Caenorhabditis elegans: one gene and its partner. The protein of the gene in region 1 interacts with the protein of each later gene in a pairwise test. Each region holds a gene or a part of one and is shown in the gene's direction. Other genes may lie near its edges. The genes, in order: srj-14 and F21D5.4.

The links.
Region 2: the proteins of srj-14 (region 1) and F21D5.4 interact in a two-hybrid assay, tested with the Caenorhabditis elegans proteins (one large-scale study listed by BioGRID).

What each region holds. Positions count from the first base shown.
Region 1 is NC_003283.11:7,367,977-7,372,771, forward strand, and holds srj-14 (Serpentine Receptor, class J), read left to right. Parts: upstream 1-1,731; 5' UTR 1,732-1,794; intron 1,795-1,861; 5' UTR 1,862-2,279; intron 2,280-2,328; 5' UTR 2,329-2,856; coding exon 2,857-3,048; intron 3,049-3,095; coding exon 3,096-3,161; intron 3,162-3,215; coding exon 3,216-3,322; intron 3,323-3,370; coding exon 3,371-3,575; intron 3,576-3,625; coding exon 3,626-3,727; intron 3,728-3,772; coding exon 3,773-4,108; 3' UTR 4,109-4,155; downstream 4,156-4,795.
Region 2 is NC_003282.8:8,736,002-8,739,624, forward strand, and holds F21D5.4 (HTH CENPB-type domain-containing protein), read left to right. Parts: upstream 1-2,085; 5' UTR 2,086-2,087; coding exon 2,088-2,273; intron 2,274-2,321; coding exon 2,322-2,507; intron 2,508-2,551; coding exon 2,552-2,959; 3' UTR 2,960-3,100; downstream 3,101-3,623. Other genes in the region: F21D5.5 (uncharacterized protein), read right to left, coding at 1-191, 235-341, 387-564, 610-980, 3,103-3,175, 3,225-3,277, 3,325-3,373; mrps-33 (Small ribosomal subunit protein mS33), read right to left, coding at 3,594-3,623.

The sequences.
Region 1 (4,795 bases):
TCACCGTTTAAAAGTTACATATCTGAGAAGCCTGCCAACTCGAACTTTTGGAGTTCTGAAAATTGGACGTTTGTCTGAATATCTATTTCTAGCAAATCTATCAAAAAATTTATAACTACAAAAATAATGACCAGTTATTTCTACACATTTTTGTAGTTGGTCATTTTAAGATATCTTCTTTAGCAACAGAGTTATCGCTCCTATAAGAAAAAAACCGAAAAATGAGATAATTTGATCGAAGAATGATAAAAATTCGTTGAAGAATTAAAAAACTTGTGCGGAAATTGTGTTTTTTTGTTTGATTTCTATAATATTACCATAATAAAAACATTAATATCCATAGAAAATCCATAGAAAACATTTTTTTCGGTTTTCAATTGAATTTTTTTCAATTAAATTATCAAATTTTTCAGTTTTTTTCTTATAGGAGCGATAACTCTGTTGCTATAAAAGATATCTTAAAATGACCAACTACAAAAATGTGTAGAAATAATTGGTCATTATTTTTGTAGTTATAAATTTTTTGATAGATTTGCTAGAAATCGAGATATTCAGACAAACGTCCAATTTTCAAAACTTTAAAAAATTCGAGTTGGCAGGCTTCTCCGATGTGTAACTTTTGAACGGTGAAAGATACCAAAAAGCCGTCTACACATAACTTGTTCATTTTAAAATGCTTAACATTTTTGTAGTTATTCATGAATATAAATCTGTCACGCAGTCCAAGATATACCCCTCTGAAGTAAAAATTGTCATTTTTGCTACTAATTTTCGGTACTTTTTCAAATTTTAAGATATCAAGGAGAGCTTTTCGTTGCCTGATATTTTTAATCTGCGTTATACAAAAGTTTTCCAACTGCGTGAAACACTAACATTTCCATTCAAACCTAAAACCAAACAAATCGAAAAAATTATTTTTTATTCTCGGCCACTCGAAGGCAGATGATGCAGTCTGGAAGTTGCCGGAACTGGTTGGTATTTATAAAATTTTCATTACTCACTGACTTCTATGTAATCACAAAAAAATATTTGAGAAAAAATCAAAATTGAGAAAAAACGAAAAAACTTATCGAACACCCTAATAGTAAGCAGGTGAAAAATGTGCAATATTAATATGCAATTGCAATTTCGTCTGCCATCTGTCTTCTTTCTGAAGTTAACAATGATAGCCGGAACATGGAGGAAATAACGAGAAAAATATGTTTCAACTTTTTGAAGTAACCAATTAGGTTAAACATACTTCCCACGACTGCTCTTCGTACAAATACCATCAGAAAAATAGTTTATTTGATATTGCTCTTTTTGTTCATAGCATTTTTCAAATATATTAGATTACCAATGCGGGAGTTCTAAAATATACAAAGAATTATATCTCAAACTGATGAACTGATACCCATGTTCAACACTGAGTTTTTGGGATAGAATGTGACAGAAAAACTGCCAGAATATCAACAGACATACATTAGATTTTGTCAAACAAACAAGCGCAAACCAAAATCACACAAAACTTTTTTCAGAGATACTTGAGGATTCACGACAGTTGCCCGAGTGTTCAATATCATCTTTTGAAACGTTGATACACATGACACCACTGTGGAAATTTTCAGTAATAGCTTTTTCCTGTCTGCCTTTATTAAATACTTCCAGATCATTTTTTAGAAAATGATTAGTTTTTTGAAATTTGCCTTGATTAGTTCTGTGCTGTTATGAGTGGCTGACACTGCTAGTGTAGTTACAGAAAAGAGCACCAACTGTTCTGTGGAAGCTGCTTATGAAACATTTATGTGTCTTGTGGTAAGTGATGTTCATTTTTTGAAAACTAACCTTTATTACCGTTCTAATTTTCAAATCTGTAATTTAGCGTCTGCGCGACTTTGGAGAAAAAGTAGACCAGCTCGATATGGATAAGAAAAATGAACTGAGGGAGTTTGAGAGATCTTGTGATTCTCTAAACACTTGCTTCTCTAGTCTCCGATGCCGGCCAAAATCCAATGTGAATGTGACAAGATGAATTGCTTCGTATTGTTGAAAAATATTGCGATGCTGTTGTGTACATCTACGAGGATTTTTCCAAATGTAGTGACAAGCTCACCGAAAAAAAGTCAGAGTGTTTCGACAACTGGGACCCTCTTCCAAATGGGATTCATACAGAAGAGGACGCAAAGAAGATTCAGAAAATGAGAGAAGAAGCATGTAAGACATATTTCGGAAAAGATGACTGCTTGAAGAAAGAGATTACGGAAACATGCGGTCAAAAAGAATGGAAAAAATTTCGTGAGGTATGGATATCAACAAGTTTTGTCTTTAAAACAAAATATCAATTTTCAGCATTTTGTCAATCTTTCCTACCAAATTGTTAGCAAATGTGACTTCAGCCGATTTGGATGAGCATGTGGATTTTGTAAAAAATGAACAAATTAGTTTTGATCAAACCCGGGAAAATTGTATTAACTATTAACTACAAAGAAAAAATATGTTTCAGAAACTTGAATTTGAGTTAACCTTCTCTTTGGAAGAAAAGTATTAAATTCCGATTTGATGAGAAATTGAAAAAATTGTAATTGTAAAAATAAAGGTATGATGAAGAAACATGAGCCTCTTATCTTTTTCATCACAGCCTGGTTGTTTGAAACTACGTAACTGTACTAGTTGTTTGATTTGTTTTTAATTTAGTCTGTCTTCCGAGGGGCATGCGGAAATTAATATGGTTCTCTTAAAAACAAATGGAGCTATAGCTATGTGTGCTCATTCGTATTTATGTCTCACTTAGGTTATTACGTTTTCAATTTCTTTTCTTTTTTTTTCAGTTTAGAAATTTTAATTTTTTGAATCTAACACAAATTTCTCAAGTTTAGCATGAATATAAGATGGGCTCATCGATATATTCCCGCGGCATTTGGATATTTGTCATTCGTTTTAAATCCCATACTTGGCTACCTAATTCTCACCGAGCCAAAATCCGCAACAATTGGAAAGTATCGATACTTAATTTTGTTCTTTGCGGTGTTTGACATGGTCTACTCAACAGTAGAGTTACTGGTACCACTGGTAAGATTACTAAGATAAAGATTCATTTCCAGAATTTTTTTTTACAGGGAATGCATGGAACTGGTTCAGCTTTTGTCACGTATCTCGCTCATGGACCATTTTTTGGAAAAGATGTGAGTTGTTAAAATGAACACTGAATGGTATTAACAAAATAATTAAAAATTCAGACTATTCGCCTTGCCCAGTTTGCAATTTCTGTCAGATGTGGTTTCATTGCATTGTCATATGGCATTCTCATCATTCACTTCATTTACCGCTACATCGCTCTTTTCAGGTATCTTGAAATGTTCAGCAATTTATCGATAATCTTTTAAAAATTTAGGCCTCAATTAATTGATGACGTGTTCCGGCCGATGGGAATATGTTGCATGATGACATTTTTCCTGGCCCACGGAGTTGCATGGACTGCCGTTTGCGAGCTGTGTCTGTACGCAAATGATGAAATCAGGGACTACATTCGAACGACTTTCAGAGATGAGTATGACGTCGACTCATATGACATTGCTTTCGTGGCTGCACTTTACATTGTTAGTCATTTCTATAATACAAATTTAATTGTGAATTTTTATATTTGAAGGATGGAAGCAATGAAACAAAAAACAAAAGTTGGGCTGGGATCTTTCTTCTTTTCAGCATTTCTTCGTTCGCTGTTTCGTTTTATTTAATTCTGGGAAGAAAGGTATGAATAAATCGGACAAGAACAAATTGTATCGTTATTTTTCAGATCGTTGTCAAACTGAGAACTCATACTGCACTCTCTCAACAAACTCGAAACATGCACAGGCAGCTCTTCCTAGTTTTGGCATTTCAAACAATCATCCCAGTTTGCATCTGTTTTTCTCCTTGTATGATGGCGTGGATTGGCCCAATGTTCTACTTGGATTTTGGAATGTGGGACAACTACTTTGGGGTCATCGCGTTTTCAGCTTTCCCATTCTTGGACCCTCTTGCTATAATCTGCCTGCTTCCGAACTACAGAACTCGTATAACCGGTGCATCCGTTTTCACATCAGTTTCTCCAGTGATGCCAATCAGTACTGTTCCACCTGTTTTAAATTAACAAACATACATATATTTTTACATATCCGAATAAATAGCTTCTTATATAACTTCTATAACATATGAACTAGTTAATTTTGAGCTGCTCGTCCAAAATGTTAGCTTATGCTCTGCTTCGGAGAGCTTGAAATATATCATAAAATTTGATTAGTCACAAAAAATTAACATGTCGCAATTTTTTTTTGTTGCATTTAGCAATGAATTCATTTTCAAATAATGCGCTCACAATATTGATTAGTTTTTTATTCACATACTTCTTTTTTTTTAACATCGTATGAGTAGACTTAAGAATTACAATAATGGTCAGCACCATACAAAAAAGCGTTGGTTTTTCCATCACAGAATTACGAAATAGATCAACATCAGATTTTTACAGTAATCCACCTTCGCAGTCGGAACTATACAGATAATAATTATTAATACAGCGTTTGGGGTATTGTTGTGTGCCAGCTTAAATAACATTTTTAATTAAAAAATATCATTACTTATCTACAAAAGAACCTGAGTGTTTGACCGTAGTCTGCGACGTCATACATCAGATAGAGACTGGAGTGTTGTGTCGCGCAAGTCATATTACGAGCTTTTGAAAAAAAAAACTTAAAATGAAGTTCTAGAAAATTTTTGGTGGGAAATTAAAACGGAGGAAAAGGATATTACGTAAAAATACAAAGAAAAACAAAATTAACAG
Region 2 (3,623 bases), on another chromosome or scaffold:
TGTTCCATACTACAATTCATCTCGAAACATCGAATGGGCACTCCGAGCTCTTTTGCCACGTCAATATATCGCTTTCGTGATTCTAGATCCGGTGATGTGTTATCAATAACTACAGATTTTCCATCAGCAAGATATGAACGAGTGGCTGCTACACACTTTTGCCATGTTCCGATCGTGTCACGATTCACAATATGAATCAAAAATTTTTGAGTTGAAAAATGCTCCAAAACTTACTTTATAATCATGTTGATGACCGAGCATTTTAGCAAAAGTCGACTTTCCTGAACCGGGAAATCCAACCATTAGAATAATTTCTTTTTCGGATGATTTAAGTTGAGCATCTGAAAATATAATTATATTTATGTTTTCTCATAATTTTATTTCACCATGAGGTTCAAGTTCAGTAATTTCCTCTGAAAATAGATTTTTTGGATCAAAGTTTGGTGGTCCCCAGGGCTCATCAACTTTCGATTTTCCGAAAAATTCTTCTGGAGTTTGAAATTTAACACCGACATTTGCAGCAAAGAAACGATCTGCGTATGAGTGATCTTTTTTAGGACGACTCTATAAAATTAGAATTAAATGAAAGTTGAATCTATTCACACGTACTGTAGTCTTGATTCTTCCAGCAGCATCTCCAACAAAAATGCTTTCTTTTTCATTAATTTCCACTTCATCATTTCTCAATTTCAGCTCATTCCACATACCAACACATGGTTTTCTATAGTGTCCCCCAGCAACTGAAACAAATGCTTGAACAGGTATTCCAAGTTTTCCAACAATTGCTTCAATTTTCTTCCTAAATTCATTTCGATCAACTTTTCCAGCGTGGATGCCTTTTTGATTTGTGAAAATGACAATTTTGAATCCGTCGGAATGCAATTTTTTGAAATCTGATGGAATTGAGTCATATAGAAGTTGCCAATCTTGACAATTTGTTGGAAACACTTTTCCAGACTTTGTTTTGATCAGAGTTCCGTCTGAAAATACGATTTTTTTAAACAAAAATATTTTTTTCATACACTAGAAAGTTTAGAACAACTCATAAATTTAACCTTTTTCAGGTTTTCATCTATTATTGTTGTGGAGATCGACAAAAAATAGTTGTAGGGGTTCGAATCTACAGTAATTTTAGGGATTTCCACAAAAATTTGGCAATTTACCAAAAAAAAAATTGATTAGTATTACATTTTTATTAATTTGTGCAAACTACTTAATTTGAAGAAAATCAAATGGAAATTACATCACAATTTTAGGTTCAAGGGATAAATGTACCGAGCCAGAGGCTCACTGCTTGAATAGTCTCAGTAAGGCCAAGTTTCTTGATACTAATTTCATATTTCGTGAAAATTATCAATTCTGCGCCAAAAATATGTGTTTTCTTTTGATAGAAGACGTGAGTTTTCCCACTCATCAACAACAAGAAAATCAAAAAATATATCCATACACCACTCAGTATTTCTAGTCGTCTGTGTTCTCTAATTGTAGGTCACAGCCTCCCTCCATTAGACAGGCATAGTATGTTTGTCTGTGTCTCTTCATCTTCATACACACTCTGAATGTTTGTCTGTTGTCTCTTGAAGTGTGGACACCCTCTATTAAAACGGCACTCCCTTCTTCTTGACGTTAGAATTCATTGATTTTTTTCTATTTATTTATTTTATCTTTTCTAAAGATGCAAATGTAAATATTACACAGATGCGAAATTTTGTGATTTTCAACGCAAAAATACGATACTCGGTCTTGACACTGCGGAATAAGTTTATATGAAAAAAAGTGCACCTTTAAAAAGTACAGTAACCTCTACGAGTCACTGTTCTGACTTATTCATCTTCGACTTTTTTCCTGAATTTTGCATAAAATTTTAGTATTTTTTGATTTGTCTCACAAAAAACAATTTTTTTTTGGGAAAAATGTGAAAATCGGAAAATCAAACCAATGAGGCAGGGAGATTACTGTACTTTTTAAAGGATATTCGGTCGTGCCAAGACCTAGTATCGCATTTTTGCGTAGGAAATCGCAAAATTTCGAATCTGAGTAATACTATTCTAACCGAAATGTAGAATTCTCAGCTTTAAACTTCAGAAATGACTGAAATCTCTCCTAAAATACTTGAAACTTCATCCGAGCCACCACCAAAAAAGAAGCGTGCCAATTTTACACTCGAATTCAAAAATGAAGTTATTCGATTTGCTGAACAAACAAATAATTGTCAAGCTCAGAAGAAATATGGAGTTGCAAGAGCTTGTATTCAACGATGGAGACATTTGAAGGTATTTCTGAACTACAGTAGTTCTATCAACAAATTTCTGGAATTTCAGCACGAATTAGCATTCGAATCAGAAGGAAAACAAGGAGCAAAGAGGCTCGGTGGAGCAGGAAGACCGCTAAAGAATGTGGAATTAGATGAGAAAGTTGAAGATTGGATTGCTTCGAAAAACGGGAAAATTTCGGGAAAAGATATCAAGGAATATGCGAAGAAAATTAATGGAAATGCAGACTTTAAGGTTTGAAACATTTAAACTCGAATTTCGAATAAAATATTTTCTAGGCAAGTAATGGTTGGCTTCAAAGATTTATGATTCGACACGGATTGATAAAAGCAAGAAGTTCAAGCCCAAAAACGCCATCAACTAGTGATGGCACAACAGACAAAACGCTTGAAGAATCACTTTTTGAACTAATTAACAGTGATGAATGGAAGAATATATCAGAAGGAAATGTTTCAGGATTCCTAGAAGATTTTAATGCAGAAAATGGAGAAACTAGTTTAAAAGTCGAGGGAAACAATAGTACAACCACAGAGAGTGAAGTAAAACAGAAACCAAATGAATCATCGAAATTGCCAGAAATAAACATTTTTCAACAATTGGAGATGCTTATTAAGGATTCTAATGGGAAGGAAGACAGTGTAGAAGAAACCGAAACATCTGTGAACCGTTCTCCGAAATCTTATTAATTTTTTGTTATCGTTCATATTTTTCTAAAACTATAGCATGTTATTTTCCATTGAAACAATTCATATCTGATATTCATAATCAAAATTTGGAATACTCATGGAAAGTTAAATCTCGCCAATAAAATAATGTGACCAATTCTTACCCATATCGAATGCGGCAATTTTCTCTTTTCCTTCACATTCTGAATGGGTGAAAATCATCAAATCGCCGTTGTCCTGGAAAAATCAGACTTTAGTTTTTTTTAATGAAGTTTATTTTTGAAACCTTTGATTCCCAGGATCCAGTCTTTTTCAGTGGTCGTCCAAATAAATCAGTATCTGTAAACCGGAGATGAACTTTTTCAGATAAATTGCAAAATCGAAACCTTTAGATTTTTTCGCTTCGTTTTTTGCTCCATCCATTGCTCTTTTCATAATTCTAAGTCTGAAAACTGCTGAAAAAAGCAACGTCTGCCAATTATTTGTGGAGCAATTAAAAAGAAAATCAATAATCGATATTTTCTGTGTTAAAAACTTTAATTTTATTGGAAAAATGTAGCAAAACCTCAAAAAGAATTTATTTTCAATTAAAACAAACGTAAAAAAAAAATCAACAAAACTTCTAATCTAGATTTAAACTTCGAGAACATCCACACTACTTCTTTCCTCTCAATTGTGCACGCTT